Rattus norvegicus: one gene and its partners. The protein of the gene in region 2 purifies or fractionates together with the protein of the main gene of each other region. This does not show direct contact. Links are inferred from orthologs where the notes say so. Each region holds a gene or a part of one and is shown on either strand. Other genes may lie near its edges. The genes, in order: Cul4b, Dcaf4 and Cops6.

Evidence for each region.
Region 1: the proteins of Dcaf4 (region 2) and Cul4b purify together in Homo sapiens (affinity purification with mass spectrometry; 9 studies listed by BioGRID and IntAct, counting the BioPlex papers as one, with this or other methods). This does not show direct contact. The link is inferred for Rattus norvegicus from reciprocal best matches to the Homo sapiens genes DCAF4 and CUL4B.
Region 3: the proteins of Dcaf4 (region 2) and Cops6 purify together in Homo sapiens (affinity purification with mass spectrometry; 4 studies listed by BioGRID and IntAct, counting the BioPlex papers as one, with this or other methods). This does not show direct contact. The link is inferred for Rattus norvegicus from reciprocal best matches to the Homo sapiens genes DCAF4 and COPS6.

What each region holds. Positions count from the first base shown.
Region 1 is NC_086039.1:122,171,703-122,175,350, forward strand, and holds part of Cul4b (cullin-4B), read right to left. Parts: intron 1,452-3,648; coding exon 1,348-1,451; intron 686-1,347; coding exon 616-685; intron 1-615.
Region 2 is NC_086024.1:108,902,900-108,906,547, reverse strand, and holds part of Dcaf4 (DDB1- and CUL4-associated factor 4), read right to left. Parts: intron 3,526-3,648; coding exon 3,423-3,525; intron 2,022-3,422; coding exon 1,878-2,021; intron 375-1,877; coding exon 325-374; intron 1-324. UniProt on the Homo sapiens protein: May function as a substrate receptor for CUL4-DDB1 E3 ubiquitin-protein ligase complex.
Region 3 is NC_086030.1:22,151,228-22,155,573, forward strand, and holds Cops6 (COP9 signalosome complex subunit 6), read left to right. Parts: upstream 1-1,460; 5' UTR 1,461-1,462; coding exon 1,463-1,592; intron 1,593-1,799; coding exon 1,800-1,922; intron 1,923-2,120; coding exon 2,121-2,252; intron 2,253-2,455; coding exon 2,456-2,544; intron 2,545-2,635; coding exon 2,636-2,698; intron 2,699-3,062; coding exon 3,063-3,110; intron 3,111-3,421; coding exon 3,422-3,536; intron 3,537-3,619; coding exon 3,620-3,712; intron 3,713-3,801; coding exon 3,802-3,902; intron 3,903-4,023; coding exon 4,024-4,164; 3' UTR 4,165-4,300; downstream 4,301-4,346. UniProt on the Homo sapiens protein: Component of the COP9 signalosome complex (CSN), a complex involved in various cellular and developmental processes.

The DNA of each region.
Region 1 (3,648 bases), on a different chromosome or scaffold from region 2:
AAAAGAAAAAAAAAATCAAGCAATTTTTGTAAATTTGAAACTACAATATTAGCTCTTAATGAGAATTTGGAAAATTTTATATTAAATAGGCTAATAGGATCCAACTTGCAAACAAATATATCTAGCTGAGAATATGTCCCATATATTTATTTTTAAACTAATCTATTAATCCTTCTTGTGGTTTCTAGAGAACACAGAATTAAGATGGTCCTCTGAGATCTTTGCTACTTAAATAACTAAAAAGAAAAACTGGAGGTAGGCATGGGACATATGCCTATAATCCCAGCAACTCAAGAGCCTAAGACAGAAAGATCTTGAAATTTCGGGCCAGTCTGTACTACACAATGAGATCTTGTCTCAGAAAAAAAAAAGAGGGAATCTAAGGTACACTTAGTCTTTCTTAGCAGCAGTGCTAGGGGGTAAAACTCTCTTAAACTTGTACCCATGGTGTTTAGGAGGTGGGAAGTGGGTTTCAAGATTTCTATTTGCATTAATATAAAGAATAAACACCAGACTTTCCCACCAGCTGTATCCCAATACGTCCAACAAGATATCCAAACATTCTAGCACCTAAATGTTTTTGCAATGAAATAATCAGTCTTGTTTCCAACTCACCATTTGCCTACAATGATTTTGCCAGCATCTATCAATCTTTTTTAGAAAAAGAACACTATCCAATGAATCCATGAGACAGATGTTAAGAATATTTTAAAATGTATCATATAAGTAATATGTGTAATATAAAACGTATTTGTCTTAAAATATAGACTACCCCATAAACTGATAATACAAATTATAAAACACAATTCTAATTTTTAAACTGCAGAAACAAATTTGATCCCCCTTAACGTATCTTTAAAACCAGTCTTAAACCTAACTGAGCATGTTTTTTATTTATGATTTCCCTCAAATAGAAATTTGTCAGGACAGAGGCTAATGACAGGAAATTTTTACTTAAAAACTGTAAGTATAGATCTTAACTATAATTGACACTGAAATGTTTTAAAACTTTGTTCTTTCCTTCAGAGATAAGAGGACAAAAATAAATCTTTCAGCACAGGCATTCCATTTCAAACTGAGCCAAGCAGTGAGAGGTAATGAGTAATGAAAAAACTTAAGATACTTTGTTTTGAGGGGCTCAAGAGATGGCTCAGCAGTTAAGAGTACTGGCTGTTCTTCCAGAGGTCCTTACATTTCTAACAACCACATGGCTGCTTCCATGTACAATAGAGTCTACTACCCTCTTCTCTCTGATGCCCTCTTCTGTCATACAGGCATACATGTTAAGTAGAACATACATAAAATACATACATAAATAAATGTGACATTTTGTTTTAAAAAGGATATTCTCTGAACTGATGAATCTGTGCTTTGATGTGATCTTCACAGATCTGCCTCAGCTGCTTATACAAATTGGCAGAAATCTTGTAAGAACAAAGATTTTCTACAGCCTGTAAGATAAAACAGGTAATTTTGTAGGACAGGAGAGAGTTGGGGTAGGGGTCTCAATTATCACATGAAGTCATGATTTTTTATACATTGTATCAGCTCATTGAAAATAAAGTATTTGTCAATTTTAAAAAGCAAAAGAATGGAATCAACCCAGAATGCCGAAGCGGGAGTATTAGGAGTTTTGTGCTAGCCTAGAAAACTTTACTTACACAGACACACTCAGGATTAAACAAGAAAATTGACCAATGTGGGTGAAAACCAAGATAAGTCCACATTTGTATGTTTATGAGGGCTATACTAAAAGTAAAGGCTGAAGAGAATCATGCAAAGTTTTGTACTACATACAAAAGCATTCTTGTTACAAATAATTTTCATAAGCAGAATGCATTAAATTTAAAAATAATTTTGCCTGTTTTGTATGTATGAGATGGGCCAGAAATGACTACTATAACTCAAGTAAAACTAATAGTTCCTTGGATATTCCTGAATACAATAAAGTGGAAATTATTGCTAGCAGTGTTTAAACCAGTGTGATATAATTAAACACTATGACATTTTCTCCAATTTTCAGTTTATAAATAATTGAAAATAGGGACTGCAAATTGGGCTTAGTGGTAGAATATTTGCCTAACCAGCTTGAATCCCCAGAATTCATACTCTTAACAACAGAATGAATATATTTTTACTTCATTAGAATACTTGAATTTATCCTCAAATCTTAACAAGTTCAGATTTTGTGTTTATTATGTGTATCAAAAGTCTTTCAAAGGGCTGGAGAGATGGCTCAGTGGTTAAGAGCACTCAGTGCTCTTCCAGAGGTCCTGAGTTCAATCCCCAGCCACCATATGGTGACTCAAAACCATCTGGAATGAGATCAGATGCCCTCTTCTGGTGTATCTGAAGACAGCTACAGTGTACTCATATATAATAAATAAATAAACCTTTTAACAAAAAAGTCAAGTTTAAAACAACAGGTGTGGTCACTCTAATGTTAACCACAATTGGTAATGGCTTAAGTGTAACACCAAGATTCCTCTCATGCCACAATGGAAGACAAAAACCCCATTCCATTAAAAAGGACTGGGGAAGTCCAAACTCTGTTGGTCTGAGTGGAATTTTGTAAACAGTGTAGCTAGAAGTCACATTGCTAGAATGCAAGTTCAGTGATCCCATTTTTTTTTAAAAATAAAGCTTAAAAAGGAACTTCCTTATTCCACTGGAGGAAAACCATCAATCCTCAACAGGAGAGAATAGACCCATCAGCTTTAACAGCTATGAACAAATAGGAAAAAGACAGATTCAGTTACAATCCATGTAACCTGGGGTTAGGAAACAAATATCTAAGAGTGAACTTGTTTATTTCATGTGCTCCTCTATTCATACTGATCCTAGATGGGGTGTCCTCCTCCCTTTATGGCACTTTTTACTGTATCTTGTTTTTTGAATGGCTGACTCATTTTCTCAAGCATTTCTCATTTCCTACTTACGTTGTCAATGACATAATACACACTTCATTTTTTACTTTCCCTATTTTTTATTCTTCAATACATTCTATTTATCCTACTTCCTTCTGAGTTCTCCTTTATCTCATAAAACAGTTCTTGACACATCTATTATCTTTTCCCACAAGATACACATTTTCTATTTCTATTAAACTGGGTACCACTTCTTCCAAATAAGGTAACTCCTTTCACTGTCACAGATTTGCCTAATGCTCCCACCACCCACCACACCTCAGTAAATCAATACTCTTGCTTTTTATATGTATATCCTGTCTCCTTGATTTTGCTTAATGGCAGTGATCACACAGTCCTAAGCTATTTTTTAACACTTTGACTTTTACAGTATATGTATGTCAATAATGAATTATACCCTGCATACTAGAATGAAAACCATGATCAGAATACTATAGTGTAAGCTAAGTATGTTTATAGTCAAAGATAAAGCTCCCTATTACAGCCTTTAGGAGAAGGAAGTTAGGAAAAGTATCCAAGTCTACCAAAGACCCAGAGAGAAATATATAGAATACTAATGAGAATAATAAAAAACCAAAAACAAAGCTGAGCTTTACATTCAAAGTGACTAATGATTCATTCAACGAAAAGGAAATATGCAACAGAATAAGTTGGGTAAGTCAGGTGTGGTGGTCATGCCTGTAGTCCTACATTGAAATAAGAATTAAATAAAGTTCTATGT
Region 2 (3,648 bases):
ATGGCAGGGATGCTGGGTCTGCCTGGTGACCCATGAGCGTATATCAGCAGTAGAACAGGTGGACCCTGGGGCCAGACTTCTAGGGCCCAACGCTATCCCTAGCCACTACACTTTAAGTCCCAGATGTCTGGCACATAGGAACTTGACCATCATCCTAGAAACAGCCACCTCTGTACCTCGGTTCCTTATGGAGACTCCCTGTTGTGGACCCAGGTGTGGTCTTTCCCTAAAAGGTGAGACACCCCTCTCTGCCACCTCCACAGATGCTCAGGTCCAGACCAGGGCATGGCTGTCTACTAAACCCTTTTGTCTGCGGAAGGATACAGAATGTGGGAGTCCAAGTGATTGAGTGAGGCCCAGCACACAGAGTTCACCTGCGGGGAGCGGGAGAGAGAGACTAGGGTGACTGCTGACCACAGAGAACAGCGGCAAAATGCTTTCCTAGAAGACGGCTGGAAGGGACCGCAGAGATGGCTCAGCACGCGCTGCTTTTACGGAGGACCAGAGTTTGGGTCCCAGCTCCGTGAACACTAACTCCCTCTTCTGGACACACAGATACATGTGCCCAGGTATGCACACACACATACACGTCCCTTAAAATTGAAGAGGAAAAAAAGGAAGGAAGAAGGAGAAAAGGGAGAGAGAAAGAGAGAAAGGACAGACTTGTAGAGGCACAAACTCACGACGCCTCCACTCCCTGCAATGCTGAGACCAAACGCAAAGCTCTGAACATGCTAGGCAAACACTCTACCACTAAATCACCCTTAATCTGACATGTGATTTCCTTCTTCAGGTTTTGCTCTTAAAATGGGCTGCAAGGAGCATCCTGAGGATGGTGGAGCTCCCTGTGCAGATCTCTTAGGTCTTGAGGGGAACGGGAAGGAGTAAACTCCAGGCTTCAGTTCTTGCAAATCAGCATGGGTCCCAAGCTAAGGTATCTGTCAACAGCCCCCTCCCCCAAGCTAGACCTGTATTCTCTTATTTTTTTTTTAAAGATTTATTTATTTATTATATCAAAGTATGCTGTAGCTGTCTTCAGACACACCAGAAGAGGGCATCAGATCCAGATCTCATTATGATGGTTGTGAGCCACCATGTGGTTGCTGGGAATTGAACTCAGGCCCTCTGGAAGAGCAGTCAGTGCCTTTAACCACTGAGCTATCTCTCCAGCCCTTTGGTTGTTTTTTCAAGACTTATTTATTTGTATCCTCTATTTTTACAGGACCAGGAAACAAACCTAACTTTTAACCAAAGGTTAACCCTTTAGGGTTTTCTTTCTTTCCTTCCTTTCTCCGCCTCCTCTGAGACAGAAAAAGGTACAGCTAGGCTCACCTTGTAGCACAGGCTAGCCTTCGGCCAACAGCGACCCTCCAGTCTCAGCCTTCTGTGTGCTGAGTGAGATCACAGCTACCACACTGGGCTCCTCAAGCCATTTTTACCAGTGTCTCGCTCGTGGCTTATGTCTTAGTGAACAGGAAGTCACTGCCTTAGATGCAACATAAAGGCTATGAGATGGAGTACCTGACATTTTGGGATGCCCAGCGAAGGAACCTATCTAGGCTGTGATGGCTGTATTCCAGGAACCACACCCCTCCAGATCAGTTCTGATCCTTCAGAAAAGAATCTCGAATGGCCACTGAAAGCACCCTGCCTTGAGCTCACCCCAACCACCTAAACTTCTCTTCAGATGTTACGGCTCTCTGGGACTTGCTCATCCCGTGGCCTCTCAGGAATTAGCAAACCATCTGTCCCTTGGAAAATGAGATGGATCCTTCAGTCTTCACCAGGCCGTTTTCCCTTTCCCTCTCTGAATTCAGCCAACTACAGCAGTGGCCTAGGTCCAAAGGCAAGAGCTAGAAGGTGGAGACAGGACCTACCTTCCTGTTGGTAAAGTACAGGTTCTCGTGCATGTGCACCTCGAACGTGGGGGCCTTCAGACCCTGCAGGCTGATGATGCCGTACTTGGAGCCTCCGATTTTGACGTCATTCACCGTGAAGAGGCGGTCACTGGTAGTGTCTGCCTGGAGGGAAACAGGCTGCAGGTGATCTCTCATGTGGGCTGCCTAAGCTCCTCTCCATGAAGGAGTAAGGCAGGGACCCACCTTAGCTCCCACTCGGTGACTACACTCCAGCAAAGTGATCTCCCAGAGTCTGCCCTGCCATCTCTGAGGCACTGAAAAGATGGCAAAATGAGGGCCTGACCAGGAAGTCTGGTGACCTTAGTGACCACCTCAGAAACAAGTCTGGGAGGACCATACCATGTGGCCACCATAAAACCCACAAAGAGCTCTGAGTCCTAGACAGCTACATAGTGAGACCCTGCCTCATTTAATTTAAATATACAACAAAGGACCGACCTGTAATCCCAACACTCAGGAAGCTAATTATGGCAGGGGAACTGAGTGTGAGCCAGGCTGAAGTAGAGTTTCCTTGTCTTAAAAAGCCCCGTTAAGTTTCCTCTGATAAAAGTCTAAACAGACACACACACTGGTGAAATTCCTCCTACAGTCTTGAAGAGTTATGTGCCTGGATGTACCCACCAATGATGGGAATCAAGTGGGTCAAAACACCTTCCCAGTCCTCTGGCTGGCTCTGGGTACTACCCAGCTGGTCACATGGGATGCTGGGTCACAGGACGGCTGCTCTACCACAGGCACATTGCTAGGGAAGGAGCTCGAGGGGACCCATGGCAGCAAAGTGCCTGCTGTCCCGTCACCAGGCCCTCAGGAGGGCTGAGCAGCAGAGACTGGGGCCTGACCCCAATACTTCTTTCTGCTGTCGGGGCTCCTGGACCAGGAGGCCTCAACATGGGCCTCAAGGGTCACTCTACTTTAGCCTCCCATCTTCCCAACCGATCACTGCCTCCATGGTCTCATCTCAGCCTCAAGGCTTTCCCTTGGCCTCCAGGAAGGATGACAAGCGCTCAGGGGGCCCATGGAAGAGGGAGGGCATGCTCTGGCTCCTTAACAATGCATACCTGACCCTAGACTCTGGTAGTTGGACTTGATTTCCACTCCAGGTCTCAGTGAATACAGAGACTTTCCACTTCCAATAAATAGTGTGATGGAGGTACGAACGGCCCTGCCACTGAAGTCAGGGACATTGAGCGAAGGAACCCACCATGCTGCAGCTGATGGCACCTGGATCCTGCCCACACTGTGCACAGCCGGAGAGAATACACTGTTTGTCGTATGTGGCCAGACCCAGGTTTATTTCACAGGATGGGACTGAAGGGTGAGTGATGGACATACACATACACACACACCCACACATACCCCTTAAAAACAACAACAAAACCCCACCAAACCAAAAGACATCTTTTTTTTCCCCCACGTAATCAGCATCTTGTTAGCCAGGCTTAGTGAACACAACACCAAGCCAGAAATGGCAGCCACAGACACCGACAGACACCTCTCACTCACCAGGATGAAGTTAAAGCGGTCACTCGCCAGAGCTGAAGGGTCTGAGCTCTGAATCTCTACCTTTTTCCTCTCCATGCAGGCCACCCGAAGCTCGTGGGAGAGACTGGACAGGGAGACAGAAACGGGAGGGCATGGACACCATGGCCAGACACCTGAGTGCCATGCAGGTGTGTCTGTCACCTGTTCCCACCAGCTGTGGGGAGATGGCTCGAGTTCAGAAGCTCAA
Region 3 (4,346 bases), on a different chromosome or scaffold from region 2:
GGAAGAAAAACAGGCTGTTATTGGCCCCAAATGAATGACTGTGGGCCAAATGCTCTTTCTTGACTTTTTTTTTTTTTTAAAGATTTATCTATTACATATTACAAGTACACCATATCTGTCTTCAGACACACCAGAAGAGGGCATCAGATCTCATTATAGATGGTTGTGAGCCACCATGTGGTTGCTGGGATTTGAACTCAGGACCTCTGGAAGAGCAGTCAGTGCTCTTAACTGCTGAGCCATCTCTCCAGTCCCTTTTTCTTGACTATTAAAGGAGGTTGCTTAGCCTCAGTTATTGATCCAAGTGGGAAACATACTTGTCTTAATCACTGTTCTATTGCAGTAAAGAGACACCATGACCAAGGCAACTCTCCCCCAACCCCTATATTGTGAGAGTTTGTGTAACCTTGGCTGTGATGGAATTCACTTTGTTGGCCAGGCTGGCCTTGAACTCAAGAAATCTGCCTGTCTCTGCCTCGCTAAGTGCGAGGATTAAAGGCATGGGCCACAAGCCTTCCCAGTAGCAGTCACTAGGTTGTGTAGAATCAAGTTGCCTTGCAACTGAAGAAGCAGCTGAACAGTTGGAGTAATCCACTGGGGAGACGGCTCGGGGGATAAAGTGCTTGCTTTGTAAGTGTTAGGAACCGACTTTAGATCCTCAGTTCACCGTTTCAATATTTTTATTTATTTGTTTTATATGAGTACACTGTTGCTGCCTTCAGACCCACCAGAAGAGGGCATCAGATCTCATTACAGATGGTTGTAAGCCACCATGTGGTTGCTGGGAATTGAACTCAGGACCTCTGGAAGAGCAGTCAGTGCTCTCAACCACTGAGCCATCTCTCCAGCCCCCCTGCTCACCGTTTTAAAAACAAGGCAGGCTGGGCACGCTGCACACCTTGAATCTCAGCACTCAGGAAGTAGAGGCAGGTAGATCTCTTTGAGTTTGAACTCAGCCTAGATGAATAGCAAGTTCCCAGCCAGCTGGGCAACACGGTTAGACCGCAGTTCAACAAACAAGTGACCATGTCACTATAGATTATATGCAACGTGAAAAATGTTATATCCTTAATAAATTACAGCGTTTCCTCTTTTTGATCGCAATTTTCTCTGCGTCTAGTATTGACAAAGTATCCCCTTTGAGACCTGGAAACTAACAGCCCTACTTGGGAGGTAAAGGCAAGAGACCAAAAGTTCAAAGTCATTCTTAGATACACAATACAGAACTCATGGCCAGGCCGGTTTTCATGAGAACCGGTAGCAGCAACACAACACAACACAACACAACACAACACAACACAACACAACACAACACAACACAACACAACACAACACAACACAACACAACACAACACAACACAACACACTGAGAACCATGGGCTACCAAGTACTGGCAGACGCCCCGCCCATTAGCAACACAGAGTACACACTGAGCATGCGCCGCTCGCCGACGGAAGCCGAGATGGAAAGGGGCGGGCCGTGGCTGGCGGGCGCGGGGAAAATGGCGGCGGCGGCGGCGGCGGCTGCGGCGGCGGCGGCGGCGGCGGCGAACGGGAGCGGAGGCAGCAGCGGCATGGAGGTGGATGCAGCAGGTAACGGGGTGCAGGGAACGACTTCTGGAGTCGCCCTTGCGGAGTGTCTTGAGTACTTCTTAAGCCCGGGAGAAGCGACATCTCTCCCAGGATAACTTGAGGGCAGGGATGAACGGCCCGGCTCTACCGGTCCTCTGCTCCCATGTCTAGGGGAGAATGTGTGGGCCCGAACTCTCACCCGCTATGTTTTTCTTTCACTTTTAACAGTCCCCAGCGTGATGGCCTCCGGAGTGACTGGGAGTGTTTCCGTCGCTCTTCATCCCCTTGTCATCCTCAACATCTCAGACCATTGGATCCGCATGCGCTCCCAGGAGGGGCGGCCTATGCAGGGTGAGTGTTGTGTGTAAATCTCAAAATTTCCTCTTGGAGATCTCCTCTTGGAGATCTCCTCCAGTCCCTCCCCCCGCCCCCTTTTCCAAATTACTGTTTCCCCAGTCATTAATACACACTGACTTCAGAGTCTCGGGAAAGGTTTTCGATGCTTGAACCTCACCTATTTTCCTTGCACTTCTGCTTCTCTCTCCTTAGTGATTGGGGCTCTGATCGGGAAGCAGGAGGGGCGAAATATCGAAGTGATGAACTCCTTTGAGCTGCTGTCTCACACCGTGGAAAAGAAGATTATCATTGACAAAGAATATTATTACACCAAGGAGGAGCAGTGTGAGAAGGGAATAGAAGTGGGCGGGAAGGAGAAGTGGGGAGATTTTTGTTTTGTATTTAGAATAGAAAGGTATAGTTATGCTAAACTGACCCAAAATTTGAGGGAGGGAGGAAGGGAAAAGCCGGTAAGGAAACACACCAGGTCCATCAAACTCAGGAAGAGAGGTTTAAAGAAATATTTACTCTGGCCCCTTCTTCTCCAGTTAAACAGGTTTTCAAGGAGCTGGAGTTTTTGGGTTGGTATACCACAGGGGGGCCACCTGACCCCTCAGACATCCACGTCCATAAGCAGGTATAAAAGCTCACATGTGTGCATGTTGGGGAAGAGAACAGAAGGTTATGGGAAGAAGAGATACTGACTTTTTTTGGGCTTTGTCTTCTAGGTTTGCGAGATAATTGAGAGTCCTCTCTTTCTGAAGTTGAACCCTATGACCAAGCACACAGATGTGAGTATTGTTGACCCTATGACCCCTTTGTCTTGATCATCTGCCCCTATATGCCTCTGCTCTGATTTACTCTGTGACATCATGTGTATTAGAGAACGCTTGAGTTGAATCTCCACGCTGCTGTTTACTTACGCCCATCAGTTGTGTAACTTCATCTCTTCAGTGGTGTCGCCATATGTAATGTGGGTAAAACTTACTCCAGTAGAGAGAAAATTGTGAGCTAAGTGTGGCAACAACACTTGTAATCAATTTTAGCACTCAGGAGATTGAGGCAAGAGAATTGTGAGTTCAAAACCAGCCTGGCAAGTTCAAGTGCATTTGCTTCTAGTAAGAGCTGTTCTCTTGTCTCCGTCTGTTTTTACAGCTGCCTGTCAGCGTTTTTGAGTCTGTCATCGATATAATCAATGGAGAGGTAATAGTTACCCTGCAATCTTCAAATCCTGCTTTAGCCTGTCTCCTAAATGCTGTGCACATGTGCACAGGCATGGGGCAACCCTGGGTGTTTGTCGTAGCTTTCTACCTGGAGACAGAATCTCGTGTTTGCCAGGCTGGTTGACCTGTGAGCTTCTGGGATTTGTCTTCACTTCCCATTTTGCTGTAGAAGTTCTGGGATTATAGACACATGCTGCCACATCTTGATCCTTAGTCTCGTGCAGCAAGCGCTCTACCCACTGAGCCGTCTGCCCAGCCCTGTTTCCTTGCTGAGAACCCTTTACTCTGCAGGCCACAATGCTGTTTGCTGAACTCACTTACACTCTGGCCACTGAGGAAGCTGAACGTATCGGTGTAGACCATGTGGCCCGGATGACAGCTACAGGCAGTGGGGAGAACTCCACTGGTAAGGGGGTTGAATTCAGTTCTTTGGAGGTATGGGTTGGGTGTGGCCACTTGCTACCTTTCATTTGTCCTGTCCCCCTGCAGTGGCTGAACACCTCATAGCTCAGCACAGCGCCATCAAGATGCTGCACAGCCGTGTGAAGCTCATTTTAGAGTACGTCAAGGCCTCTGAAGCAGGTAGGAGAGGTACCTCACCTTTAACCATCTTTCCTCCCTCCTGGAGAAGTGACAACATCCACATCAGTGCAGCCTCATTGTGCCCTTAGGAGAGGTTCCCTTCAACCATGAGATCCTGCGGGAGGCCTATGCCCTATGCCACTGTCTTCCAGTTCTCAGCACTGACAAGTTCAAGACAGACTTTTATGATGTGAGTGTTAATACCCTTGATGGGGAGGTGGGGCTCACAACCACCTCAGGCAGGTGAAACTCAGTGTCATTGGCTAATATGAGGGACCCCTGGGGAACTGGTTCTTTCTGTTCCCTCCCAGCAATGCAATGACGTGGGGCTTATGGCCTACCTCGGCACCATCACCAAAACGTGCAACACAATGAACCAGTTTGTGAACAAGTTCAACGTCCTGTATGACCGACAAGGCATCGGCAGGCGGATGCGGGGACTGTTTTTCTGATGAGGGCTCTTGGAAGGGATGCTGTATGGGGCTCAGACAACTGTGCCACGGGACTGAGCACTTTCCCCTTAGAGAAACTCACTAATAAAGAACAGCCCCTTAGCAGCCCTTCCAGTGGCTTTGTCCTCTCAGGCACAATGGTTTCTCACCTGGACTCTTCAGACAGGACCCACTTATCTTTT